Linked DNA regions of Notamacropus eugenii. The protein of the gene in region 4 interacts with the protein of the main gene of each other region in a biochemical or structural test. Links are inferred from orthologs where the notes say so. Each region holds a gene or a part of one and is shown on either strand. Other genes may lie near its edges. The genes, in order: CRKL, PTPN3, PLCG2 and ERBB2.

The links.
Region 1: the proteins of ERBB2 (region 4) and CRKL form a complex in vitro, tested with the Homo sapiens proteins (2 studies listed by BioGRID and IntAct, with this or other methods). The link is inferred for Notamacropus eugenii from reciprocal best matches to the Homo sapiens genes ERBB2 and CRKL.
Region 2: of the proteins of ERBB2 (region 4) and PTPN3, one has a biochemical effect on the other in vitro, tested with the Homo sapiens proteins (2 studies listed by IntAct, with this or other methods). The link is inferred for Notamacropus eugenii from reciprocal best matches to the Homo sapiens genes ERBB2 and PTPN3.
Region 3: the proteins of ERBB2 (region 4) and PLCG2 form a complex in vitro, tested with the Homo sapiens proteins (2 studies listed by BioGRID and IntAct, with this or other methods). The link is inferred for Notamacropus eugenii from reciprocal best matches to the Homo sapiens genes ERBB2 and PLCG2.

The regions. Positions count from the first base shown.
Region 1 is NC_092875.1:9,006,666-9,013,512, reverse strand, and holds the start of CRKL (crk-like protein), read right to left. Parts: upstream 3,017-6,847; 5' UTR 2,996-3,016; coding exon 2,685-2,995; intron 1-2,684. UniProt on the Homo sapiens protein: May mediate the transduction of intracellular signals.
Region 2 is NC_092874.1:313,227,009-313,234,117, forward strand, and holds the start of PTPN3 (tyrosine-protein phosphatase non-receptor type 3), read left to right. Parts: upstream 1-4,093; 5' UTR 4,094-4,162; coding exon 4,163-4,235; intron 4,236-7,109.
Region 3 is NC_092872.1:542,870,897-542,877,999, reverse strand, and holds the start of PLCG2 (1-phosphatidylinositol 4,5-bisphosphate phosphodiesterase gamma-2), read right to left. Parts: upstream 3,008-7,103; 5' UTR 2,786-3,007; intron 2,314-2,785; exon of another isoform or gene 2,226-2,313; intron 1-2,225. UniProt on the Homo sapiens protein: The production of the second messenger molecules diacylglycerol (DAG) and inositol 1,4,5-trisphosphate (IP3) is mediated by activated phosphatidylinositol-specific phospholipase C enzymes. It is a crucial enzyme in transmembrane signaling.
Region 4 is NC_092873.1:355,228,736-355,236,134, reverse strand, and holds the start of ERBB2 (receptor tyrosine-protein kinase erbB-2), read right to left. Parts: upstream 3,009-7,399; 5' UTR 2,699-3,008; coding exon 2,626-2,698; intron 1-2,625. UniProt on the Homo sapiens protein: Protein tyrosine kinase that is part of several cell surface receptor complexes, but that apparently needs a coreceptor for ligand binding. Essential component of a neuregulin-receptor complex, although neuregulins do not interact with it alone.

The DNA.
Region 1 (6,847 bases), on a different chromosome or scaffold from region 4:
CTCCACTACTGACTTCCCTGGCTTAAGACCCACCTCCTCCAGAAAACCTTCCCCACCCCTCAATTCTAATGCCTGCCTCTAACGGAATTCCTCTTCGTCCTGTCTATGATGTCCATGCTCCTTTGCTTGTCATCTCACCATTAGATTTTGAGCTCCTCAAGGGCAAGGACTGCCTTTTGCCTCTTTGTATCTCCAGGTTAGTAGCATGTGGTACAGAAAATGACAGTTAATAAATGTTTATTGACTGAAAGAGCCCTGAGGAGATTTACTTATCATTGGAGGTCACTCAGAAAATCAGCAGTGGAGCAGAACTCCCACACTCCTACTAGAACTCATCTAGTCCAAACTCGGTCTAGAACACCAGGTCTAGAGTCAGAGCAGAAGCTGTCCCTGTCCCCTCTCCAGGAGCTTCTACTTTGTCACCTGTTTGCCCAGAAGAAACATGAGTGGGTGCCCCTATCCCTGAACTGACCAGGGTTTGGGGGTCAATCCCCCCATTTCTTAGCTATGAGGATGGCAGGGTATCTTACTACCTCGGCCTGGATCTGCTCACCTGTGAGAGGGGGGGGGTCAAACCTCACACAAGAGCCATTGCTGCCCAAGGTCACCCCAGGGGCACCAAGTGTGGGAATGGAAGCCAGCTGGGGCATTGTGGGCTTGGGAGTCAGGGGACCTGGGTTCCAAAAGTGTCTCCAGTATGTGCTGAGCCAGCCCTTTACCTCCCCCATTTAATGATGGGATTTGGCCTCACCAACAAGGGTTGAATGGGCACTTTCTTCGGACCCTGCTCACTTAAGATCTAAATGAAAATTACAAGAGCGCAGACTCTCTCTCCTCTCTCTGTCTCCCTCCTCTCTCTCTCCCTTTCTCCCTCTCCTCTCCCTCTCTCCTCTCTTTCCTCTCTCTCCCTCTTTTCTCCCTCTTTCTCTCTCCCCTTCTCTTTCCCCCTCCTTCTCCCTCTCTCCCCCTTTCTCTCTCTCCTCTCTCTCCCTTTCTCTGTCTCCCTCCTCTCTCCCTCTTTTCTCCCTTTCTCCCCTTCTTTCTCTCCCCCTCTTTCTCCCTCTCTCCTCTCTCTCCCCCTCTTCCTCTCCCTCTCTCCCTCCTTTCTCCCTCTCTCCTCTCCCTCTCTCTCTCTCCTTCCTTTCTCCCTCTCTCCTCTCTCTCTCCCCCTCTCTCTCTCCCTCCCCCTTTCTCTCTCTCTCTTCCTCTCCCTTTCTCCCCCTCTGCTCTCTCTCTCTCTCCCCTTCTCTCCCCCTTTCTCCCTTTCTCTCCCTCTCTCCTCTCTCTCCCTGTCTCCTCTCCCTCTCTCCCTCCTTTCTCCCTTTCTCTCCCTCTCTCCTCTCTCTCCCTCTCTCGCTCTTTCTCCCTTTCTCTCCCTCTCTCCTCTCTCTCCCCCTCTCTCTCTCTCCCTCCCCCTTTCTCTCTCTCTCTTCCTCTCCCTTTCTCCCCCTCTGCTCTCTCTCTCTCTCTCCCCTTCTCTCCCCCTTTCTCCCTTTCTCTCCCTCTCTCCTCTCTCTCCCTCTCTCGCTCTTTCTCCCTTTCTCTCCCTCTCTCGCTCTTTCTCCCTTTCTCTCCCTCTCTCCTTTCTCCCTCTCTCTCTCCCCCTCTCCTCTCTCTCTCTCTCTCTCCCTCCCCCTTTCTCCCTCTCTCCTTTCTCCCTCTCTCTCTCCCTCTCTCCCCTTTCTCCCTCTCTCCTCTCTCTCCCTCTCTCGCTCTTTCTCCCTTTCTCTCCCTCTCTCCTCTCTCTCCCCCTCTCTCTCTCTCCCTCCCCCTTTCTCTCTCTCTCTTCCTCTCCCTTTCTCCCCCTCTGCTCTCTCTCTCTCTCTCCCCTTCTCTCCCCCTTTCTCCCTTTCTCTCCCTCTCTCCTCTCTCTCCCTCTCTCGCTCTTTCTCCCTTTCTCTCCCTCTCTCGCTCTTTCTCCCTTTCTCTCCCTCTCTCCTTTCTCCCTCTCTCTCTCCCCCTCTCCTCTCTCTCTCTCTCTCTCCCTCCCCCTTTCTCCCTCTCTCCTTTCTCCCTCTCTCTCTCCCTCTCTCCCCTTTCTCCCTCTCTCCTCTCTCTCCCTCTCTCGCTCTTTCTCCCTTTCTCTCCCTCTCTCCTCTCTCTCCCCCTCTCTCCTCTCCCTTTCTCTCCCTCTCTCCTTTCTCCCTCTCTCCTCTCTCTCTCTCTCTCTCTCCCCCTCTCGCTCTTTCTCCCTTTCTCTCCCTCTCTCCTTTCTCCCTTTCTCTCTCTCTCCCCCTCTCTCCTCTCCCTTTCTCTCCCTCTCTCCTCTCTCTCTCCCTCTCTCTCTCTCTCGGTCTCCCCCTCTTTCTCTCCTTTCTCCCTTTCTCTCTCTCTCCCCCTCTCTCCTCTCCCTTTCTCTCCCTCTCTCCTCTCTCTCTCCCTCTCTCTCTCTCTCGGTCTCCCCCTCTTTCTCTCCTTTCTCCCTCTCTCTCTCCCTCTCTCCTCTCTCTCCCTCTCTCGCTCTTTCTCCCTTTCTCTCCCTCTCTCCTCTCTCTCCCCCTCTCTCCTCTCCCTTTCTCTCCCTCTCTCCTTTCTCCCTTTCTCTCTCTCTCCCCCTCTCTCCTCTCCCTTTCTCTCCCTCTCTCCTCTCTCTCTCCCTCTCTCTCTCCCTCTCTCTCTCTCTCGGTCTCCCCCTCTTTCTCTCCTTTCTCCCTCTCTCTCTCCCCCTCCCCCCCGCCCCGCACCTGGGCGCGGGCTCCAGCAGCGTGGTCGTGTCCAGGTAGTGGATCTTGTAGAACTCGAGCAGCGCCGGCAGGTGCTCGAACTCCTGGTCCCCGATCTTGAAGCGCCGGTTGGGCAGCGAGTTGATGATGTAGTGGGACACGCGCGAGTTCTCGGACACGGACAGCACGTAGTCCCCGGGGCAGGTGGACGAGTCGCGCACCAGGAAGACGCCGTGCCGCTGGCCCTGCAGCCGGCTCTGCGCCTCCTGCCGCGACACCGGGCCCACGTACCAGGCCGAGCGGTCGGCCGAGTCGAAGCGCGCCGCCGCCATGGCCGCCGGGGGCCGCGCCGCCCCGGGCGGGGGCGCGCCGGCTACGGAAGCCCGCGGGCGAGCTCGGGCCGCCGCCGCTCCGCCGAGGGCCGCTCCCCGCGCCGCGCCCGCCGCCGCCGCCGCCCCGCGCCCTCACAGGCCCCGGCCCGCCCCGAGCCCGCGGCACCGCCGCCGCCGCGCCCGCACCATCGCGCGCCGGGGCCCGCGCCCCGCCGCCCCGCGCCGCCGCCGCCCCGCCGCCCGCCGGCCTCGCCGCTCCGCCGCAGCCCTGCTTCCCGAGAGCCCCAGCAACAAAATGGCGGGCGGCCGGCCACCTCCCCAGCCTCTTCGGGGGCGCCCTCTGCGCGTGCGCGGCGCCCGCCCCGCCCCTCGGGGCCCTCGCCGGTTGGCCGGCCCGGCCCGCGCGCGCCCAATGAGGATCGGCGCTCGCGCTGCCCCGGAGCTCGCGCCCATTCGCGGCGCCGCCCTCCCGCCTGTCCGCGTGAGCGCCGGAGCACGCCCGGCACGGGAGGGGGGAGCGGAAGGGGGAGAGGGGGAGGGGAAGGGGGAGGGGAGGAGGGGGAGGGGGGAGGGGCGGGGCGACGAGCGGAGGCCGCCGGGCGCTTCCTTCGGTTTCGAAAGGCCGAGCCGAGGTGGGGAAATCTCGCCTGGAGTCCGGGCGGGGGGAGGGGCGGGGGGCGGCCCGCCGGCTGGGCCGTAGTGATCCGTAACGACGCCCCTCCTACCTTCCAGCTCAGCCATATGTACTAGTAATGATCCGCACCCAAATCAAACCTCGGGCGGGGGGTCCCTGACCCACGCCCAGGCCCGGCGGCCGTATATACCAGTAACGATCCGCATCAATATCAGACCTAAGCTACATTTGTAATCAGTCCCAAAGACGCCCTCTCCTCAGCCGTATTCATTAGTGACGATCCGCACCAAGATTGACTCTCCGAGGTCCCTGGGCAGCAGCAACCCAACCTTGGGTGTCCCAAAGGCTCCCCTCGGGGTGTGGAGGCCGGGAAGGGCTCCTGCACCTCGGGTGGGTCCGCTTGTCACTTACCTGTCACCTGTGGCTCCCCCACGTGCTCCGGCCACACCCCGCAAAGCTAAGGGCGACCAGTGGGCTCCAGCCCCTTGGCTGAGTTAGGGGGTGTCTGCCCCCCCAGAATGGGCCGGGGAGAGTTCTGAAACAGAGCTTGGCTGTCCTCCGGACCCGTGTCCGGCGCCAGACTTGGGGCCACTGTGCTCCACCGAAGTCCAGTCCGGGCGCAAGTCGGGCCGCACCCCTATCTCCTTGGTCCCCCCAAAGCCAAGGCTGAACGCGTAGGTAGCGCTTAGTAGGGGCCAGGCCTCCCACCACACCTGGGAGGCAGTCCCCGTTTTACAGAGGAGAAAACTGAGGCTCCACCACCTAGGGAAGGCTCCTGATGCCAGGCTCTTTCCAGGGCCAGAGCCAGGACTCCCCTGCCAGCCCCTATACTGAGTGCCTCTGCCTCACCCCCATTCCCACCAGGGCATACCCCAGACCGGGCAACTTGAGCATCGCTGCCCATCCCCATCATCAAGGATGCTCCCCAAGAGAAGCCAGCCCTAGGCTGGGCAGAGCTGTCTTTAGCTTGACCCTTCCCAGTGGTTTGCCCCTTGTCTGCCCCATTAGACCCTGAACTGCTGGAGGGCAGGGACCCACATTATATGCCAGCACTTAGCATGGCACACAATAGGCCCTCAATCAATGCTAGAGGACAGATTCATCCACCACCACCATCCTTCCCCAAAGCTCCCTATGTGGTACTGACCTGTACAACCGCAGCCCAGGCCTTACCCTCTTCCCTTATGAATTCCTGCTTTTTCCCCTGAGGAATGGGGGGGATTCAGGGGGATCAAAAGTCCAGGTTCTGTTGACTGGCATTCCCCACCCCACCCTGGCCCCAGCCTTGTGAGGGAACTGGCTCTGGCAGCAGGTAAGCTGCTGGCTCCAACTCATTGCTGGTGCCTCTTCTTCCCTCCCCCAGATCCTCTGGGAGAGCCACACTTCCTGCCAGCCCCACTTCACGGGGATAAAGCAGCCCATGACTTGGGTTGAGATGTGGAGACTTCCATCAACAAGATGTTCTGTGGTCCAAGGCTCAAGCGGCAGGGGACCTGGAAGCTGGCGATTAGCCCAGGGGAGATTATTTGGCTACTGGGCAGAGGCAGAGATGAGAAGGGAGACGTTGAGGCCCATCTCTGCCCCTAGCTAAGTTCTGAACCTTATAGACTCAGCTTAAACTGCTTGAAACCCAGCAGTGAGGAGGCAGCCTAGATATTTATCCGCTCACTGCCCTCTGGTGGCTAATGGGAATATAGCAACCTCTTGGGAGACCTTTCCACAGAAGTGACTACTAGGTTAATGGTTCAAAAGAATTCCACCTGCTGGGAAATTCAGGTATGGTGCTCCCTCGGTGGATAACTAACACAGAGACATGTTGCCATCCAGTAGGTTTAAGGAAGCCAATACCAGTCAGTTTGGACTGCTTATACTGCGGTTACCCCGGTATCTCAGGTAGGACCCACAGAAAGGGAGGAGGGTCGATTTGTTACTACCGGTATGACTTTTGGACAAGCCACTCTCCTCCTCTGGGGCTCAGTGTTCGGAGGAGATGATCTCTAAGCCAGACACCAAGGTGCTACATGGATACCTATAGAACCAACCAATCCATCAACAAACATTGATTAGGTGCCCGCATCATGTGCCAAGTGCTGTGCTGAACTCTGGGGTACAAAGAAAATCGATAATCCCCACCCTCAAGGAGTGTGCATTCTAATGGGGGTGCCAACACAGAGTAGAAGAATGGTACCAGCACCTGGGGGGAGGAAAGGAAAGCAGGGATTCCAAGAGACCTAAGTTGGAAGGGAGAGCATTCCAGGCTAGGGATACTCTATGCAAAGGCATGGAGATAAAGATGATGCATTCTGTTTGAGAAACAGTAACTAGGCCAGGGTGGCTGGATCTTAGGGAGTATGTTGTGTAGGGCCTTAACTGCCAAACAAAGGATTTAATCCTGGAGGTAATAGGGAGCCACTGGAGAGTTTGGAGTGAGGGGTCTAATATAATCTGATCTATGCTCCACAAGGGAGTAATGGATGTATTGGATGGGGAGAGACTTGACTCAGAGGGATGAGTGGAAGGCTAGGGTGATAGTCCAGGTGAGAGGTAAAGAGGGCCTGTATCAGACTTGCTGTTTATGTAAGAGGAGAAATGGGGAGAGGTAGAGGAACAAAGTTTAGTGATGGACTAGATAGAGAGTGAAGAGATTTTGAAGTTGGGTGTCTAGAAGGGTGGTATTCTCCTGGAAATGCAAATGCCAACAACTCTGAGGAGCCATTTCACCTCCACCAGATACGCTAAAATGACAGATGCTGGAGAAGATATGAAGAAACAGGCTCCCAGTGTGTTGTTGGTGGAGTAGTGAACTAGCCCAACTATTCTGGAAAGGCTTCTTGAATGGCAGAAAGGTGAAAGGAGCAAGCATGTATTAAGTGCCTACTTTGTGTCTGGCAGTGTGCTAAGCATTTTACAAGTATCTCAAACCTCACAACTACTCCTGGAGGTAGGTGCTATTATGACCCCCATTTTACAGATGAGGAAACAGAGGCAGGCAGAGGTTAAGTGACTTGCCCAGAGTCACACAGCTAGGAAGTGTCTGCGTCAGGATTTGAACTCAGGTCTTCCTAGCCCTCCATCTGCCATGCTAGCTGGCTGCCTTCAGGAATTATCAATGGTAGAGGAACGGCCGAACAAGTTGTGGTGTATGAATGTAATGGAATACTATTTCCCATAAGAAATAATGAGCAGGCAGATTTCAGAAAAAACCTGGAAGAACTTAT
Region 2 (7,109 bases), on a different chromosome or scaffold from region 4:
CTGCATTCCAGGCCATTGTCAGTCATCGTGCCACTGGACATCAGTGACTTGGGAAGAGAGAGTGAGGCTTTTGTGTAACTCTGTCTCACTTAAATCCAGTTGAAGCATGAGTCAAGACAATCACCACCATGATGTCATTGGTCCTCTTTGGAAACGGACAAACAATAATGGTTATTGTATAGTATTATACATTTGTTTATGTCCTATTCCTGTTGCTAGATTGGACTCTCCATGAGGGGAGAGACTGTCTTAAATATCTTTGTATATTCTTCTTCCCTTTTCTCTCCAGGAGACTGGGAGACTATAGTTGTATAAAATTGCATGTACTAGAGAAACAGTTGTTGCATTGGTTGGTTTTGCTGGGGGAAAATACATATGTAATTAAAAAAATCTTTGTATAGGATCATAGCCTTTAAAAGTGGAAGGGTCTCCAGCCCTCTCCTTTCATAGATGAGGAAGTTCATCCAAGACGTGAAGTGATTTACCCAAGGTAGCCAAGATTAGAAGAAGGATTTGAACCTATCTGACTCCAAATATCTTTTTTATCCCACTGTTCTTCACTGTTCTCTTGGTGCTCCAAGAAACTCTCTAAGATTGTAAGGTACAGAGCAAATGCCCATCTGCATCCTTAAGGAGGGAGTTTCCTCACTGGGAGTTCTCTATACCAATATAATCCTAGGTCACATACAAAGAAAAAAGAAGAGGTGTTATTGCATGGATGAATTCATGCTTCTCTACCATTCCTCATTTTGTTTTGCTATCTCTAATATTCTCCCTATCCTACTGTATGTTCATATTAATCTTATTCATTAGGTCTAGTTCCAGGTTTGCCCTCATGTGGTCCTTTGTGGTCCCCTGATCTTCTGCAGTTATTAGAACTCTCTTCCCCTTCACTGTGTATATACTTTTCCATGTATCTTAGTTTTGTTTTGTTCAGAGATAAGTTCTTTTAGTTAGAAACTCTGCTATATACTTCTTTTGTATACAGTGTCACAGAACCAAGCTCACATTCAGTCTAAGTGAATTGAGTTACAGAGTTTCTTGGAAACAAGTTTGTTGTTGTAGTTCTAGATGTAGTAATCTTTTTTATTTAATAATTTATTTTGCTGTAATCTCAGTCATTAGTTTTTGACATTATTATTTGCAGTTTACCAATCTGTGCATTTGGTTTAGTTGAGCATTAAATATGCAGTCGAGTTGTACAGTCTAGTATGTATACAGCTATTATGCAAAATGTATTTGAAAGTCTAATAAAGAACTGAAAAAATTGAAAAGGAAAAAGATTGTTAATGACTGGGAAGATCAGGACAACCTTCATGGAAGGAATGGCATTGGACAGTTGAAAAGGGTCTCTGTTCTTGGTATAGTAAATGGTACAAAGGAAAGCCCAATCCAGAGGATCAGAGAAATCTACAATGTGGCTACATGTTAGGGTATTTGTAGTCAAGTAGCATGAGATAAAGCTAGAAAGACAGGGGGTCCTAGATTGTAGATAGCCTTGATACATAGGTAGAGAAGTATGAAGTAGGGAGCCTCTGAAGATTTTTGATCAGATGAGTAATATGATTAGAATTATGTACAAAGGCAACTAATTGGGCAGTAATATAAAGGGTCATAGTCTGGACGGGGAAGAGAAAGGAGAAGAGAATTCATGTTGATTGATTATTTCAGTTATCCTGCTAGGTGATGGGAGCCTGTATTTGGGAGGTGAGGAGTTGGATATGAAAAATGTTACTGAGGAAGAATCAGTAGGACTTGGTAACTAATTCAACATAAGAATCTCTTGGAGACTTAGTGAATGTTAGTGCTGTGGATGGAAGTAGTAAAGATGGAAGAGTAGATTTAGTAAGAAAGTTGAACTTGGTTTTGGACACATTGATTTGGAAAGGCTACTGTGATATTCAATTGGAAGAGTTCCATAGACAATTGGGGATATAGATAAGAAGAGATGAGATGTGGGAGTCATCTGTGTCCATCAGTGCTCTCCATAATGGAGACTGTAGATTGATCCCTACTTAGGCAATGGCTTGATCCCAAGAGATGTGTAATCCTCCAATTGGAGGAGAAGATGAATGGCATCCCACCTGCCTTTCAGTGTTCAATCATGGGATCTCTCCAACAGAACCACACTTACCCTTACCCCCAACACTACCCTGCTCTGCCTCTTCTTTCTGCTGTGCATGCTTCCATCTTCACCCTTTCTGAGGCTAGTTTTGGCTCTTCAGGACAGTTATAACTTAATCTTCAACATAGGCACCCATAGTAGCACCTGGCTAAGTGCTATTGGAAAAATCAACTACTTCCCCAAAAGGAAACCCACCTTCTTCCCCCCAGATTACCTTGTGACTGTGACAGTCTCCGTATTCCTAGGCAGTGACCCTTGAATGAAATCCTTGCCGTTCTCTTTTTCATTTTGAGTCTTTTGCACAGAACAGGTGGGCATAGGTGTGTAGTGATCTTCATCATAGATCTCAATACGTTATCTTCCTTCCCTTCCACCTGAAGCCCACCCATTATTTTCAAGAACACTGCCATGTTTCCAGTTGCCCAATTGCACAACATCAATGTCATCTACTCTTCATGTTCCTTTACTTCACACATACAGTCACTTGTCTAATCTTGTTTCTCTCACCACGTGTCTCAGGCTGATTCTTTTCTCTACTCACACAGCCTAGTTCTGGCCCCGTCATCTTGTCTAATCTATTATGAATTTGCTAATTGGACTTCCTGCCTCTCCTCTCTGCATTCATAGAACCTATAGCTGTCAAAGTGATTTTCCTAAATTGAAGGTGTGATCATTTCACTACCCTACTCAATAAACTCTAGTGGATCTTGCCCACTTTAACTTTACAAATATTTCATCTTTATCGCATCCTTTCTATTTGTTTTTGTGTATGTAAATTTTATAATGCATAAAATTGAGTACAGTAGTGTCATATAATTTACAAATAAGTAAATATACATACGTTGTTGTGTGCTTGACCACTAGCCAAAAAGTTTTGGAGACCACTGGTACAGATAGATGAAGAGTACTGAATTCCTTTGCCAAAGGACAAAGCATAGAAGAGAGAGCTAAAGGGAGAATCTTAGAGAATACCTACTTTTGGGGCCAGAAAGAGGAAAAACAGCCTAGGAAGGAGAGAGAAAAGAAACTAGTTTGAGCTTGTGTGCTTGAAGTGTTGAAAGAGAAAGTATTCCAAACGACAGGGTCATTAACAGTGTTGTATGTTATAGACAGGTCAAGAAGTGGTAAGGGATGGTAATACTTACTGAATTTGGCCAGTGGGAGGTCATTGGTGACCATTCAGAGAAGTTTCATTAGAAATGTAAATGTATAAACTAGATTTCAAGGGAGTGAGGAAGTTGAGACCATTTTAGATACTGTATTCTCCCCACTCCCCACCAAAATAATATGTACTATAGGGTAAGGGAGAAATGGAACAGTAATGATTGGAACAAACTTTTTTTTTTTTAGGATTAGGGAGACCAGAATATTTTTCTAGGTAGATTGTTAAGGAATCAATAAAGAGGAGAGATTGAGGATGTGTGGGAAAGAGGGACATACAAAGTGATTGTTTAAGTAAAGGCCTTGATCATGTGGTAGGAGGTACGGATAGAGGGAATACCCTTAATGAAGGGTATTAACACATCCTCTGACTAGAGGGAAGGAAGAGAGAGCCAGAGATGATGCTGAGTAGTTACGTAATGACCAGAAGACTCTGGAGGCTGGGGAGCTCACAATTGCTGGCCTCAATCTTTTCAGTAAAGTAAGTGGGAGATTGTCATCTGCTAAGAGTACTAGAAATATGGGTGGGGTTGCACTTAAGGAATGAGGAAAAGGTTTAAAAAGACATAGGGAGTCAAAAGGAGAGTAGGATTGTTGAGCAATGAGAGCCCAGCTGTTTTATAACAAATTTTTAATGGGTGACATCACCTCAGTGTCATGGCTTCCTTTAGCATTACTCAGCAGGCTAGGAACAAGAGCAGGGAAATTGGATTGAGAAGCCTTACCAAGCATGGGGATTAGCAGAAATGAAAGACCCAAATTTCTCGGAGTGGGGAGTAAGGGGTAGGGGTTAGGGAACGATTTGGCAACTTATTGTCTTAGAGAATTGCTTGTAGCTCTAAAAAGTTAAAGAGATGAAAAGCTGGTTTCATTTTAATGAGAGTGGGAGAGGGAGAAGAACAGAAGATTGCAATCAGAGAGAGGAATTTTGAAGGTCAAGGTCTCCAAGGTGGGTTGTGTACAGTACAGTGAGATGGCAAATGATAAATTCTTCAGACTTCAGTTGAAAAAAATTAGTTGAACAGGTTGAGGAATTATGTGTTCAGAATGCCTCAACATGAATAGTAATGATGAGTACTGGGAGTTAGGTGGAAAAAGAAACAGGGATCAAGGTGCTAAAATCATTGAAAAGGTTGAAAGAAGTACCTGGAGGTAGGTCAGTTTCATATCAAGCATCTTAGGTTTAAAGCTAGAAGAGACTTTTGAGATCCAACCATTTTATAGATTTTATAAATGATTTTATAGATATTTTATTTTATATTTCTATATTATATTATATTATTTATTTAATTTTATATTTATATTTTATAGATGAAAAAATGAGACCTTGTAAAATGACTTTCTCAAGGTCACATAAGTAGCAAATAGCAAACTGGGATTTGAACCCACAACTTGGGACCCCAGATTCAGTCTTCTTTCTACTGTGTTAATCTGAGAAGGTGGTGTTTATAGATTACATAGACTTTGAAGGGACAAAAATACTTTTTTGGGGGTGGAGGTGAAGAATTGAATATCTTCATTGTACCTCTCTCATTTCTTCTGTTTCTCATCTTTTCTGTACTATCACGTATTGTGCCTTCACCAGGGCCCAAGAATATATAAAAATGCAAATTAATCTATCTGACTAGCTAATGTACTCTTAAGAATCACAAGTTGTAATTGTTTGTGAGATGACAAACTAATGAGGTTTCTAGAATGGACAGAGTAGGGGCACAGCACCTTCTGGATCTGGAAAATCTGTAGAAAAAATCTTGGCCCTCTCTTTGTACTAGAGAAGTATGAATTTTTTTCTTTTTTTAATAGGGTATTTATAATGCCTTATTGTAAAGTTTGAGTTAAATATTTAAGCATAGACTCTGTGTCATCTGCTGGCCTTTGTGTGTCCTCTGCAGCTTCTACAAAACTCTACAAAAGTTCCCATTTAATTTCTTATACCATCCCATGATGTATTGAAACCACGGTGGGGAAAGTCGCGGTGTGGAAGGGATGACCATGTACCTTATGCTTTTGTGTTGCCCTCCTCACCATAGTGAATGATTACTATAGACAAGAGCTTACTCTAGTGTTGTCTAATTGATCATATTTCATGTTCGCTGTCTTCTTCAGTGTCCTTCAGAAAAGATTATTTTTTATTATGACTAAATTCTTCTATTCATGTTAGTTTGTATGAATGTGCATGCTCTTAAAAGAGAACCTGACATACTTCAAAGCATTTTAAGCAAATTAAATAAAAATATTTCCATTGGAAAAGGTTTTATCCTCCATAGTTAATGTATATTCTTTCAGGCATTACATTGTAGAGATATATTTAAGAACTAAATGAATGGTAATTAGCCATGTTTATCTACATTAAAAAGAAAAGAACACTTGTATTTGTGTAGGTGAAGGGAAGTACTCAGTGAAACTCCTTTGGTGAGAAATTCTCTTGAGTTTTCATTAGACCTGGAAAGGACCTCAGATAAATTTTGATCCAGTCCTCTCAAGAGGCCAAGTGACTGGACCAAGGTCATATGGATGGTATGTAAGTGCCAGAACCAGAATTTGAATCCAAGTCTTCTGATTATTAAATCCAGAGCTCTTTCCATTACACTGTGGTTTTTTTAGAAATAGGAAATGTGACTTAATGAAGAACTTATAGATGAACTAATTTATTATATAGATGATTATATATTTTTGATTCATATGGTAGATTTGACTTTCTTTTTTGTACAACATACAGACATGCAAACATTTGATTTTATAACTGGAGGAAAGGAAATTATGTTGTAGTGCTATTTAATAGGGGAGAGTTGTAAAAATCTGATTTCATTATTTAAATTTAGATGTTATGGCATGTTTGTATTTTAATATGCTTAAGATAAGACTAAAGAAAGGACTGTCCTTCTAATTATCCACGAAATATATTTTTCCACATAACTTGCCCTGCTCATCTTCTCTTATTACCAGTATAAAGGTACATGCGAATGAGAATTGTGAGATACTGTTACCTTATAACATTTTATGTTTTCAAGCCTTTATATAGATGTATTCACTCCCTAATCATTCTGAAACTACCATTTAGATATGTTGCTACCGAGTAGAAGTAGGTTACCTCTACCACATGACTCTGGGGCAGGCTTGCACAACTTTCGGTTTGCCAGAAGTGGTCCCATATATTTAAATTTACCTTGTTTGAAGTTCTAATTCTGTAAAATATGGTCCTTGGTTCCAGCCCAATGAAAATATGCCATGTTGAATTACTTGGACAAATGGGGACCTAGCTGTAATGTGAGGATCAATGAAGCAGTACTCCAGAAGGTGAAGAGACAAATGGGACTCAGGAAGACAAATACTCGTGAGCAGAGCAAGGCAGAGGTTTGGTTTAAGTTCTAGGAATGTAGTCAGAAACTAGGAAATCTCCCTATGAGAGTTAACAGTAGTGATCTAAGTTTCTTCAGGGCAGAGACTTGGGTGGTGGTAGTTATTTTTTGATCTTTGTATCCCAAGCACACAGAACGATACTTTGCACACAGTAGGCATTTAATGAATATTCATCGAATTGAATGGATGGCAAGAGGGCCATTAGGAATTGGGGAAACAAAAAAGAGTAGAAAAGATAGAATGTGTACATAGCACAGGAAAGGACATGGAAGGCAAGCACCTTGCTAAAACGAAGGCATTTTGTAGACCAACCTTATTACTGGTCATTCAAGGACCCAGGAGGCTGGCAACGCTTTTCTGCCACAGAACATTTTTGCCCTGCTTTGGTTGTTTGAGTTGTTTGAGTTTGAGTTTGAGAATTCTAAATTTAAAATTGAAAAGAACGTTAGAAGCCTTCAAGTTT
Region 3 (7,103 bases), on a different chromosome or scaffold from region 4:
TGCCAGTAGTATTCTGTCACAATCATATACTACAGCTTGTTCAGCCAAACCCTGATAGATGGGCATCTCCTCAATTTTCAGTTATTTGTCACCACAAAGAGAGCTGCTATAAATATTTTAGAACATAAAAGTTCTTTTCCTTTTTGTCTAATCACCTTAGAAAACGGGCCTAATAGCAGTACTGCTGGGTCAAAGGATATACTCCTGAATATTTCTCTTCTCTTGTTTGGGTCTCAGTCTTCTCAACTGAAAAATGACAGGGTTGAAGCAGATGACCTCTCAGCCCTCCCAGCTTGGCATTGATGATTCTACAATTCTCATTTTGTAAATGAGGAAACTGAAAAGCAGAAGAGTTACGTGTCTTAAGGTCACATAGCTTTGGAGGGGCCAGGAGCCAGACAAGTGCTATATCTCCACTACTCTGTGCTTCCTCTCATCTTTTAAAGAAACCCTACAGACATGAAACACAAGGAGTTCCTCTAGATATAAATGGAAGAAACGGTGGGATTTTCTAGTTGCTTAATACTTCTGATACTTTAATACTAGAAGTTGTTTTTGAAGTATTTTCCTCTCCCAGAATATAGTTATGGAAGTCAAATGATAATATCCTCCGGGGAAAAAAAAATGTCTATTTCTAAAGCCGAAATTTAGACATCTCTGAGCATTAATGTGGTAGAACCTATTTATACATATTTCCTGATCTCCCACCTCACCCCCACTGAAAACTTGCGAACATTCTGGAGAACAATATGCAGGAACAATCCCATTTCTTGGAATCCCCCAACCCCAAGAATAACTGAATGGACCTAGCTGTACAAAAAACGGTCAGATATGCTCCATTGGAAATAACAAAAAAAAAAAAAAGATTTTAAACAACATTATGTCTAAAAATTGAAGAATAAATAAGATTGAATCAATTATGGCATACTGATATAATGGAACATTACACCCAAAATGATCTGTGATATCAGCAATTTGAATGTTCCCTCCAACAATACATGCCTTCCCCATCCTATGCCACTCCTGTTCATGCCCTTCTACAATTTCACCAAAGAGCGCCCGTCCAAAGTGCCAGAGGCCTTAACCGAATGTTATTCTGCCATCAAAAATGATGAATATGAATCATATGAGGAAATATGGAAAGAACTTTAGGAAATGATGTAAAATGGAATTAGCAGAGCTAAATCTTTCTGCATATTGACTAGAGACAGCTGGTGGCATAGTGGACAGATGAAAGACCTCTGTGTTAAAAATCTAGCCCACACACTTACTAGCTGTGTGACCCTGGGCACCTCACTTCACAACTCTGCCTCCTTTTTCACAGCTGTAAAGTGGGGACAATAATAGCACCACCTTAAAAATCAAATGAGATAATACTTATAAAAAGTGCTTAGCAGAGTGCCTGACACATAGCAGTCGATACATAAATGCTTATTCCCTTCTCCCCTCCCCCCACCGACAAGTGACAAGCAGAGACGCAGACACTGACAGTCAGACCCAAGAGATCGAAGCTCCATACGGACCTGAAGGAGTCCTTGGAACACAAGCAGTTTCCTTCCTTGTGTCTTACTTTGATTACACCTTGTTAAAGATTCTGTGTAAGACTTTACCATTTTGTGTTTGTTCATTTGCTTATAACATCAAGAGAGGAAAAGGAAACCTATTACAGAGATCTCAGGACCGAACTGTGAAGTGGTGTTACTAATGTAGAAACTCAAGTCCTCTGTTCTAACGAGTCTTCACGGCCACAGAAGAGTGAGATCCGTCCACACCAGCCCCTGATCAAACCACTCCAGGGGGCAGCCCCAGACTCTACAGGCTGTGCTTTCCAGCCCCTCCTCCCTCGACTTTGCAACTAAACTTTGTATGTCCAGAGTGCCTAGGACAATGCTCCACACACAGTACAGATTCAAGTTTTGAAAGGAGAGGAAGACCACAATTTGGACACACAACAGTGAGAAAAGTGAGCTGGAATAATCAAAAGAGAAGTGAAAGAAAAAGGAAGACAGGTCTGTCTAGAGCAGAGAGCACCACACAGGGAGTTCAGGATGGATCGAGGTGTTTGGGGCTCTCCTTGGTGGGCGAACCCCAGGAGAGGAGGTTGGAAGATTCCAACGCAGGAGGTCCAAGGGTTAAAGGGGAGAGAAGGGAAGGTGATCCTTGAGCCCCAACCAGGGATCACGGAAGTCAGACAAAGTGAGGGACCCGAGATGTCTGCCCCTCACCTCCCACCGCACACACTCCGGAGCACCTCGCAGCAGGACAGGCGAAGGGGAGCAGCTGGCCAGCAGCACCCAGCCCACAGCTGCACGGCTTCCTTCCCCTCTTTTGCGAAATGCAAGTAGCGCCTCAACAGGACTGGCGCGCCCCCTTTCCCCCAAATTGCGGCCCCTAGAGGGAGTGGTTGTCCCCCAGGGGGTGCCCAGGACCCAGCTATACCCGGCTTATTCTAACTGCCCGAGTCCAGGCAGTGAAGCAGTGAGTGGCAGCAGATCGAGAGTCACTCTTTCTCTGCAGCAGACACACGCACTAGATATGGAGGGTGGCACAGGGACCAGACCGACAGCCCGAAATCCTGCACCCCCTGACTCAGTTTGGATGCTTGACGGGGAAGGGGGAGTCCGTTCCTTTCGGCAGTCCCCCATCCACTCCGCGCACATCCCTACTTGGATGCCCACATGCATGCCTCCATGCATCCGTAACATGCCCTCCTGGCACCAGCCAGGACGGGCAGCTCACACTCCGCTAGACCCAACCCCTCCCCAGGGGCAGTCGCCAAACTCACCACCTGTAACCAGGGTGCTCTGCCCCTGGGCAGGAGTGCAGAGTGAGTGACAGAGCTGGGGAGGCCAGCCTGCCGCCCAGGACTCCCCCCAGGACCCCTGCACGTCAGGGTTGTGGCTGCAGCTACCGCCCCTTTCCCGGTTGGTCTCCAGGACGCTCTGGCTCCTGCCACAGGGGCCGTTTCCTCACTCAACAGTTTGAACTTCTGCTTCTGCTTGAGGCTCCCAGCTCAGCCCTCCACGTGATCACCCGCCTCCCTGCAGGCCGGCCTTGCCCCGGCCCGGTCCCTGCCTCCCCGGAGACCCGCCCTCCCTCCTCCAGCCCGGGGCGGGGTGCTCGGTGGTGTTGGCTGCTGCAGAAGCTTCCGGGCAGACCAGCCTTGAATTAAGGCCAAGCGGAGCCAGAAGGAGCCCTCAGCCACAGGCTCTGGGTTCTCCTTGGCATCCCACCCACCCACCCCCAAAAGTTCCTTTTTTATGGTTACTAATGTTTCTGCAAAGCAGACTCTGGGCGCCAGTGACTCCCTGTTACCTCCAGGATCACATATGAAATCCTCTATTTGTCTCCCAAAGCTTTTGATAGATGGCCCTCCTCACCCCTCCTGGGCCTTTCCAATCTTCTTACACCTTACCTTCCCCGCCGAGCTCAATGCCACTGGCCTCCTTGGCCGGATGCTTCATCTCCAGACTGAGCTTTTCCACTGCCTGGAGTTCTCTCTCCTTCCTCATCTCTGCCTCCTAATTTCCCTGACTTTCTTGAGTCTCAGCTAAAGTCCCATCTTCTGCAAGAAGCCTTTCCTCAACCTTAGGGCCTTCCCTCTGAGACCACCCCCAACTTGTCCTGTAGCTTGTTTATACCTAGTTGTTTGCATGTGGTCTCTCTCAATAAACTGTGAGCTCCTTGGAAGCAGGGACTGTCTTTTTGTTTTATTTTGTCTTCCTTTGCAACCCTTGCTTAGCACAATTCCTAGATACTAAGAGGTGCTCTTACATCTCTATCTGAAGACCCCTGACGTTGGCCAACTGCCCCTTCTATAAAGACATAGATAAATAAAACTGACAACCAACTTCTCACAGTGATTTAGAGTACCATTTCCTTAACCAAAATTCAGTTTGATATAACATGTATAGTCCCAACACTGTGCTAACTCACAAAGAGTCAAAGTATATCAAAATTGGGAGGACCCTCTAGACCACTTCCCTCCTTAGTGGATCCCTTAAGGGACAGGGTGGCCATGTAAAGAGCCCTGGATCTGGAGACAGAAGATTCTAATCTCTCCTCTTTTACTACAGCTAGTAACTGGTAACTACAGTAACTACAGCTTTGGACTTGAAATCAAAACTATCCCTGTCTTCAAACTTAGCTGAGTAACCTTGCTCAAGTCTAGCGCAGGGGGGAAATTTTTAGATCTGGAATCAGGATTCGGATTGAAATCCCAATTTTGCTATGTAGTACCTATAGGAATTTGAAGAAGTCATCCAACTTCCTCCGGGCCTCAGTTTGCTGAACTATAAAATGAGAGAGCTGAACTGGTAGTGAGCCTTTTGGAGGTCTCATAAGATCTAAGTTGATGGAACAACACCTTAGCCCCTCAGTTTCTTCATCTGTAAAATTGGAATTGAAGATTCAGAATTTTAGAATTGGAAGGAATTTAGAAGCCGTCTAACCCAACACACACTTGAAAAACAAATTCCCCTATAGCATAGCTGCCAAGTTATTACCCAACCTCTTCTTGAAGACTTCCAATGAGGGAGAGCACCCTACCTCCAGAGGTAGCCTGTTCTACTTATGTGATGATTATGTTACTGAAGGATAATAATACTTCCACAGCACTTCCCTCACAAGGTCATTTGGAGGCACCAATCAGATCATGTGCGTAGACCTTTTACAAACCTTAGATTCCTATATAAATGTCAGCTGATATAGTTGTGATTACTTGTATAACCTTGGGAAAGTCCTGTTCTTCTTTGATACATGTTCCTCATCTGTAGAAGGGAGTACTGGACTAGATTAGATAACTCTTTTCAGCCTTAAGCCTTGACATGATTTCTTTCCTCTGAAAGTCAAAGAGCTCTAAATATATGTGACACTAAAACCCAGTTCCTTTCTCTGTCTCTGTCTCTGTCTCTGTCTCTCTCTGTCTCTCTCTCTGTGTCTCTGTCTCTCTCTGTCTCTCTCTCTGTCTCTCTCTGTCTGTCTGTCTGTCTCTCTCTCTCTCTCTGTTTCTCTCTCCTACAGGTGTTTTGCTACATATCCTCACACATGCCTCATGGAATTGACAGGGGACTTGTGAAATTCCAAAAATTACAATCACTATGCTAAACAAAAAAGTTTTCTTGCATTTTGACTTTATGTGGTGTCTTTCAAAGAGTCTAGGACTTTCTGAAGTATCTCCTTCAGTCCCTGAGGGATGTCACAGCTGCAGGGCTGGGGTGGGGGGGGGGGCTGAGTTGGGGAGGGGAAGGGAAGGATGGTGAGAGAGTGAGGAACAAAGCGGTTAGAGATCATTTGCCTGGAGACTTTCAAAAGTCTTAGCACAGTCAGGCACAGGAGTGGCTAAACTTTGGGTTTGACTAGAGCCTGTTCCTGAAGGAAACAAAGGAGAGGTGAACAATTCCAAAAATTCTGAGACTGTGCTTATGATTCCCTAAGAGGAAGAAGAGGATTATCTGCTGGTGTAGAGAGAAAAGGAGGCTGGATAATAAAATTCAGACAGAAATCATAAGCTGAAGTTCTCCAGATTCTAAACTGGGCCCTAGAGGAGAGGGCTGGCTAGAAGATGGTGCCTGTAAGTAATCGTGTTGGCCCCAGGACAGAGAAGATGAGGGGGCACTTTGGTGACCGATATTCCCCCAGCAAGTTTACACCTATGACCAAAAATATAGCCAAGAAATGTGTGTCTTCTTTAAGGTAACACCCTGGCCTCTTGTGGTTTTCCTTTTTTTTTTTTTTTTTTTTTTGGAGAGGGGAGTCCAGTATAGGAAACTCCTGATAAAGGAACTCCCTCTACCAATTCAAATCAGCAAATATTCTGCAACTTACCACCTTGGAGGGCTGACTAGAACAAAGATACTGGAATGGTTTGCCATTTCCTTCTCCAGTTCATTGCACAGATGAGCAGACTCATGATACTGTAGAAAAAACACCAACCCATGAGTCAAAAGAACTGGCTTCTAATTCTGCCTTTGAATTTCACTACAACTGTGACACTGGGAGCAAGACTGAACCTCCTGAGCCTCAGTTTCCTTATCTGTAAAATAGAGGAGGTGAACTAGATGATTTCTGAGATTCCTTCCACCTCTAGATTGATAATATAAGTATGGAGGGGCAAGAAAGACCCTTGGTCACTGCCCCCCCACTTTCTTTCCATGCTAGAACCCTGCTAAAAGGTCAAAAACCTATGGATGCCTCTAGATACCCTGGGTAAGTCATTTAACCTTATTTACCTCAGTTCCTCATCTGTAAAAGGAGCAGGAGAAGGAAATAGCAAATTACTCCAGTATCTCTGCCAAGAAAACCTAAAATGGGATCATGGAGAGTTGGACACAACTGAAATGATTGAACGAACAAAGTTAGAGGTGACCCAAGGATGAGACGTGATGGGATAGAATGCAGGAATTCTTACCATAGAAACAGCAATGTCCTTACTATGTTTTGAGTCACTAGCATTTTAATAAATAACCATTTATGGTACTGTAGTCTGTAAACAAATGTACCTATCAGCCCCAGCCATTTCCTCCTTCAGAGGTACTCTAAAGGTCACTTCTGTTGGTATTATAAACAGTGCCTCTATTGATGGAATCATAGAGGCACTAGGAACAGCAAACAGTTTAGGATACATACCTGTACAAGTACAGCCAAGATTTTAGCATAAAAAAAAAAAAGATAACTGCAAATCCACAAGCTACTCTGTCTCATGATACTGACCAACCAAATTGAAGTTCTCACTTTCCTTTTCCTCTGCATCATCAACTCAGTTTATGCCTGATCACAGTAAGACTTGAATTTTCCCAGCCCCAATATCTTACATATACCTGGATACAGCTTCTCTTAGGCAATCTTTAAGTTAAAAGTTGTACAAATCGGGTCACCCAAGGCTCAAAGCTCAGCTTTCATTTTTTCCAAATTTGTCCAGAAAGAGAAAGTTCATTTTGCCCCCTGGGCCAGTCTTGGACCTTAAGATCAGATCAGCTTGAATTTTTTCCAGGTAATTTCCCCAGTAAAAATCCTGAGAAGGGACTCACTCTCAAAATTAAATTAATCCCTGCTTTCCTTCAATGTTCAGCTCAGATGTTACTTCCTACAAAAAAGACCTTTCC
Region 4 (7,399 bases):
GGCATTTGAACCCAGGACTTTCTGGCTTAAGTCCAGCATTTTATATTACACCAGAGGGCAAAGGCTGTTTATCTGGGGTCCATGAACCATGGGTTTTTTGGGGGGGAAGGTGTCCATGAACTTGGATGGAGAAAAAAAATGCAGTTATTTCCATTAACTTCTAACTGAAATATAACATCTTTAAATGATTTAAAAACACTGTTCTGAAAAGGGATTCATAGGTTTCATCATACTGTCTAAGGGGTCCAAGGTTGCAACAGAGGTGAAGAACTTCCACGACTTGGGCAAGACAATGCCTTCCTTTTTTTTTTTTTTTTTTTTTTGGTCCCTTGGAAGACTAGACAACTGGGTCAGAATTATTTTTCTAGAAAAAGAGAAATGGCACTCTTCAGGATGCTGCCTTTAGGGAAAGTGAATTTGGGACTGTGACTGACTCTCAGTCTCACAAGTTAGTCATCGATGACAAAATCAAAGTATTTTATTTTGACCTTTGAAATGCAATGAATTTATCTTCCCCATTATACTTTACTTAATACTTAAATGAGTTTACTTCCCTGGAGCACAACCACTAATGCGGGGGAGGGAATGGTGGATAATAGGGGAGCCAACCTCAGTATTAATAATCATAAGCATAAGCTGTAGATAATACACAAATTGAGAATTTACATGGCTTTCAAAGTCAATAATTCCTCAGCCTATGAGATAGGATTCTGGCAAAAGTCTGACCTCTCTGCCTTTTATTCACTCCCCTTGCCCAGACTCTGAAGTCCCTCCTCAATGCCCCTTCCTGTAGCCTCACAGGTAGTTTCCTTTAGGTAGAATTACCTATGACATATCCTTACAGTATGCTGCCCCTGAAGAGACGGGATAGGGAGCAACTTGTATGAAGAACTGACCCTTTGACTATCCCTTCCCCTCCTTCCTCAATACCCCCCATCCCCAACATATTCATCTCCTTTCTCCTTTGAACAGGTCCATCAAGGATTTTTTAAAAATATGAGCATAAGAACAGTAGTAGGGAAACCTGTGGAAACTGAGGCACAAAGGTAAAGAAACTGAGGCAGGGAGAGAACTATAGACCCATATTACCAACATAACAGAAGCTCCCATCAGGCCTCCTTTCTTGGTCACCCAGTTTTTTCAGCAGTTGAACAAAAACATAGTTTCAAGAATCCAGATTACACACTAACTGTCCTGCCTTAGCCAGAATATTAGAGTCTGAAGAGATTCTGGATTGCGGGTCGGGAAGCTAAACATGTGGGGTCAGAGAGGGAGAGCTAAGTACTATGTTCTGGATCCAAATGGAGAGGATGGGATACATTTATTTGGGGCTTTCCAGCAAACCTGACTCAGTCATCTCAAAGATCCTGGGTATGCAAAGAGCACAGTTCCCCAGAACCCAAGTTATGGAGTCAGCGTTGTTTGGTAACACAAAGGAACACACACATACAGACAAAACAGACTTACAGACATTGAGACACACACAGACCCCGCCCCCAGAGGCACATAGAGAGAGACTCAACATCCGCCAAGATCCTCTCCTCAAGTGTATGCTGCCCTCAACAGCCTTCAGTCCTATCCCACCTCATCCCTTTCTCCCTCCACCCTCAATGAAGGAAAAGGCCAAACCAAAAGCAACAGCCCTTACCCTTTCAGCTCCAAGTGGTCCCTTTTAGTTTGCCAAGTCCCCAACCTTTGGAATTCTCCCCCATGCCCCAAGACCACCCCAGAACCCCTCTTTATGTCCCATCCCTTACACCTGCCGAGTTAAGCCCAACAAAATTAAGCCTTTCTCTCCTTCCCAGACTGGCCCAGAAGAAATTTATTCAAAACAACTGTCTCCCCTACCCGCCCCCTCTTTTCTTCCGTCTCTAGGCCTCCCTCCCCACACTAGTGAGTGTGGTAACATCCAAGCAAACCTACAACCTTCTTCTCTCCCCACTCCTGGTCCAACTGGTTATCTCTCTGCCCCCTCCCAACCCCACCCCCCCAGCCCAAGGCAGAATTGGAGTAGTAACAACCTGAGGTAGAGAGTGGGTGGGGGGGCAGGAGAGGAGGGAGGATTGAAGAACAAATTAGGACCCCCCCCCCCCCCCCCAGAAAGCCAGCCCAGCCCAGTTCAGTCTGGAGATTAGTGGCTGTGGATTTTAAGAGTCAAACAGAAGGAACATATGAACGCGAATACACAAACGCACGCGCGCGCGCGCGCGCACACACACACACACACACACACACACACACACACACACACACAAAACTTAGCAGGACTTTTTTCCCCCTTCTGGTCAATTCTGTAAAACTTTTTGACTATTTCCCCGTTTGACAAGAGCTGGCTGGGACCCAAGCCCTATGTCGGGCCCCTTCAATGTAACTTTACCCCCTGCCCTATCTACCTCCCTGATCTGGCTTCATCTCTCTGACTTCATCCCCCCAGGCCCTCCCGGGAGTCCCCCTTCCCCCGGAGGCTTGGTCATATTTCTTCTCTATTGACTCCCATGCTTTCTAAATCTTTGCTTTCCTCACTCCCACTCCTCATCCCTGTCAAATGTGCCCCTAAGTTTTTCTTCCCCTTGAGAATTCTTTGCAGGAAAGGGCTGCAGACAGTTCTCTCCCAGTCGGACTCACCTTGGGTTCCCCAGACTGCTGGGGGCAGGAGGACCAGAAGGAGCCCCCAACAGCAGCAGCCCGACAGATCCATAGTCCTCACTTCGGCCCGGGGCCCATGGCTCCCAGGCTCAGGAGGAGGACCGATGGAACCTAAGAGCTGGGAGATAAGGGGATCCTGGGAAGCACCCCAATCCGGGCAGGAATCCCCTTGAGCGAGTCACTGGCTCAGTGGAGGTATTTTTCTTCTTTGCTGACTTCTCTCTTTTAGCCAGGATTGCAGGGGAATCTCAGCTCTACAACTTCATTCCTGTAGTTCCTCAAAGCAGTCACTGCTTGTCCTCCTCCTCCTCCTCCTCCTCCTCCTCCTCCTCCTCCTCCTCCTCCTCCTCCTTCTCGGGAGCGCGCTGCTCGGTCTCGATCCCGCCCTCCCCCCCCCCCCCTCCCAACTACATTCCAACAAGTCTCTGGGAGTGGCAGTGGCTGCTCCCAGCTTTACTTTCTATCTCCCTGGGTAGGCCTGGGGGTGCCTCAATCTCCCCTGAATCTAGAGACTTTTTTAGAAACCTGTTGTTCCTGGAAGGAGGGGTTGGGGACAGACGGGATACTTTACTTTTGCCATCACCAGGCTTTCCCAGTCTACTGTTACACAACCCTCTAATCTGGAGGGAACCCTAATCAAGGCTGCCTTTCCCCATCTTCTCCTAACCCAGGCTCCCCTTCCCTTTATTAACAAGCTCCATTCCTTTCCCCCATGCTCATCCTCATCTCAATTATCTACTCCAACCCTTTCTTCTAGAACAGGGATTCTTAACTATTTTTGTGTCATGGACCCCCTTTGGCAGCCTAATGAAGCCAATGGAGCCCTTCTTAGAATAATGTTTTTATGTAACTGAAGGAAATGCTAAATTTCAGTTAGATTAGAAGTTAGTGAAAATAAAAGATTTCTTTTTCCCCATCCAAGGTCACAGACCTCCTGAAATGTCTACAGAGCCCTTGGTCTGTGGATGGATCGCAAATTCCAGTTCTTTTGTGGAAGGATAGGGAAGGGAATATACTAAGTTTGAGATATTCTAGGCATCCTCTTCTCAGGCTCTGAGAGAAAAAGGCAGTAACTCAGGCTCAGAAAAGTGACTACTACAAGGTGGGGAAGGGACAGATTTAGTTAATGTTAGTTAAGCAGCCCCCTCAATTTGGTGTCGGACCGAGGCTGCCTCACATGGGTCTCTGTTCAGAGCCTTCTGTATAAGTCTCTCTGGGCCCAGGATTCGTCCATTTGGGGATTTTCTGCGAGTTTTCTCTTTTGAAGATTCTGTGGAGTGTCTGTATGTCCCTTTGTTCACTGTCTTTATGTGGAACTTCTCTGCCCAAGGCATCCTCCATACGTTTAGGGTCTCCTTTGTGAGGTATGTACCCATCTGGGGAGTCTCTGTGCAGAATTCCTTTGGGGGGAATGTCTCTGATGGTCTATAGACTCTCTCTGGGTCCAGAGTCCCTTTTATGGGGCTTCTGTTTCAGGTCCCCTTCATCCCATAAGGATTCTTTAGGTCCTCAGAGTTCTTTCTCTCCAGAGCTCTTTTTTTTTTTCCTAACCAGGATGCTCCTGGTAGGGGAGAAGCAAGGCTATTCCAGTCCATGGTGGGGGGAATATGGGACACACAGAACAAAGATAAACACAAGGATAGCTGTTATTGTCAGTGAAATCTGACTGGCTCACACAGGAGATTTGAAGCCTAGGGAAAGTGAGGGTGTGGGGAGCTGAGTGATACCATCTTAATGAGGGAGAAAGTGTAAAAAGTAAGAGTTGCCCCCCCCCCTTTCCCTATTCTTACTTCTGTTCTCATCCTCCTCCTTCTCCCCAGTTTTCCACTCTATGTGTGAGCTGGGGTGGGAGCAGACTAGGAAGACCAACTAGGTGGGGTAGATGTTAGGCTTTGATTCAGCCTCAATAGTAAGAAATCAAGGACCCCATCAGTGTCCTCTCTGACCAGAAACCATTGGTTACCTATGAAAACCTTGAGGGTGAGGGTGTTAGAACACACGACAAATGGAGCCATTGCAGACCACTTCTTTTGCCTAGGTCGCCTCCTTCCAGACCAGAGTCACCCTCCTAGCCAGAAGTCTTCATTGGAAAAACAATGAGGTGTCAGTGGCTGGCTGAGGAGGAAGGAGGGAGGCAAAAAGAGGGGAGGGGTTAGACAGACAAGAGGGTGGGGGGGGGGGAGGAGGAGCTGAAGTTAGATCTCTGTTCCTGGGGAGGAGGCTCACGGAGGGGCTGGACTCCCGAGACAGAGAATGGGCTTATTCAGAGCTAGGAAGGAAGGGGGGAAAATTCTTGTCTGCTGTTTGAAAGAGTAGAGAAGAGGGGGCAGGGGGTGGGCCCAGCAGATTCAAATCTCCCTTTCCTTGTGCTTCCAACTCCCCCCCTCTCCCCATAAGGCCTGGCAGGAGAGGCTAGGAGAAAGATTGAGTTTGAGGGAACAATTAGAGAGGGAGAGTCTTGTGGGTCAGGAGCAGTGGGGAACTTTGGAGAGAGGAGACTGAAATAGAGGTGACTATATACAGTACATATGTAAATACTCTCTCTATATATAGGACAGAGGATCAGGAATGGGAAATCAAGGGAGAATGGGGGACATTAAAGAAAGCAGGCACACAGAGATAGACTATGGGAGGAAAATGAGGTGCTGGGAGAGGGGTAAATGGAGGAGGGAACAAAACAAAGGATCAAAGAGAGGAGGGAATGATGGAAAGAGAGAGAGTGACAGGGGAATGACTAAAAGAGAGGGAGCTTTGAGGGAAACTTTGGGACAGAAACAAGCCTGAAGGCCAGAAGGATGAAGGGTAGGTGGCAGGAGACTGAAGGACAGGAAAAAAGAGAAAATGGAGGACAAAGACAGGAGGACATGGGTGAGGGTTAGAAGGCAGCAGCTTTGCTTTACTATTCCTAGTGTTAGTCTCCTCCCTAGATCTTGGTGGTTGAAGGGAGAGCGTGGGGCACCACCTTTCTGGGGTGACCTCTAAGGGTCGCCTGGCTAGAGTCTGGGAATCAATGGCATGTGAAATACCATCAATCATTAACTAGCCATCAAGGCCCTGGGGACACATGGAGCATTGTGTGTTTGAGTGTGTGTGTGTGTGTGTGTGTGTGTGTGTGTGTTTGAGTGTGTGTGTGTGTGTGTGTGTGTGTGTGTGTGTGTGTGTGTGTGTGTGTGTGTGTGTGTGTGTGTGTGCCAGAGCATGTGTGTATCTCTAAAGGAGTGCTTTCCTAGGAGTCTCCTCCCTTTCAACCCCACCCATCTCCCCAGCCACCCTGGGGTCAAAGAATTGAAAACAAACACTGGGGAGGAGAGAAAAAGTCCGAGGTTCAGGCCACATCCCTGGGCTTAACCTCATCCCTGGGCTTACAGATCCCAGCCCTGAATCTAAGTCTTAAGGAGAGTGTGCACACACACTTGAGTTTGAATTTGTATATTAATATGTGCATGTACATCTATGCCTATATATCTATGTGTTAATTAACCTGCATTATTCTCCATGCTTCATTCAATTCAGAGTGCTAGATTAGGTGTCCAAGAACCTGGTTTAAGAATCCAAGAATCCAAGAATCCAAGGTTCTAAGTCTGGACCTGCTGCTTACTGCTTGTGTGACTTCATGCAAATCCCATAACTTCATTTTACAGGTTTTCCTCATCTTTCAAATAATGGCTAGAATTTCTAGAGTACTGGTTTGCAAAGTGTTTTATATTCATTATATCATTTGAGGAAATAAATTAAAGGAGTTGTACTAGTTGAGATGATCTCTAAGGTTTTTTCCAGTTCTAAATCTGATTCTATGTTTATAAGCCATTTCAATTTATTATTTATTTTTAACATTCTTTTTAAATTTTGAGTTCCAAATTCTTTCTTCTCTCCCTCCTTCTCCCACCCATTGAGAAGGCAAGCAATATATCAATTATACACATGAAATCATGCAAAAAAATTACGTATTAGCAATATTGCAAAAAAGTGCAAGAAAAATTTAAAAAGTGACAAAATTATACTTCACTTTGCTTTCAGAATCCAACAATTCTCCCTCTCGAGGTGGATAGCATTTTTTTTGTCATGAGTCCTCTGGAATTATCTTGGATCACTGTATTGATCAGAGTAGCCAAGTCTCTTCCAGTTGATCATTGTTACAACATTATAGCTACTGTGTGTGTTCATCCTTCGTTGCCGAAGAAGACCATGCCATCAGAGAAATGATGACATGACTTGCACTTGACTTTTTTGTTTTTTGAGTGAGGGAGGGCTGTGCAAGGTCACCAGCCTCACTTCTCCTCCAGAGCCATCTGTATCCAGTGACCAGATATACATCAGGATGACTGGAGATGACCCAGGATGAGGCAATTGGGGTTAAGTGACTTGCCCAAGGTCACACAGCTAGTGAGTGTCAAGTGTCTGAGGTGAGATTTGAAGTCAGGTCCTCCTGACTCTTGCACTGGTGCTTTATCCACCGCACCACCCAGCCCTCCCTCACTCAAAACAAAGTGAAGTGCAAGTCATGTCATTATTTCTCTGATGGCATGGTTTTCTTCAGCAATGAAGGACGAACACACACACACACACACACACATTTACTGTGTACAACGTTCTCTGGGTTTTTCCTATATTACCTATCAATTACTTATTGATATCCAATCAAGATGCCTATTAGGCACCTCAATAGGCCCCAGGAATACAAACGTATCTGTTATAACCAGGACAACCAGGGTAAACTCCCTCCTGTCTCTTCGTCCCCCAAATCTTCCACAAA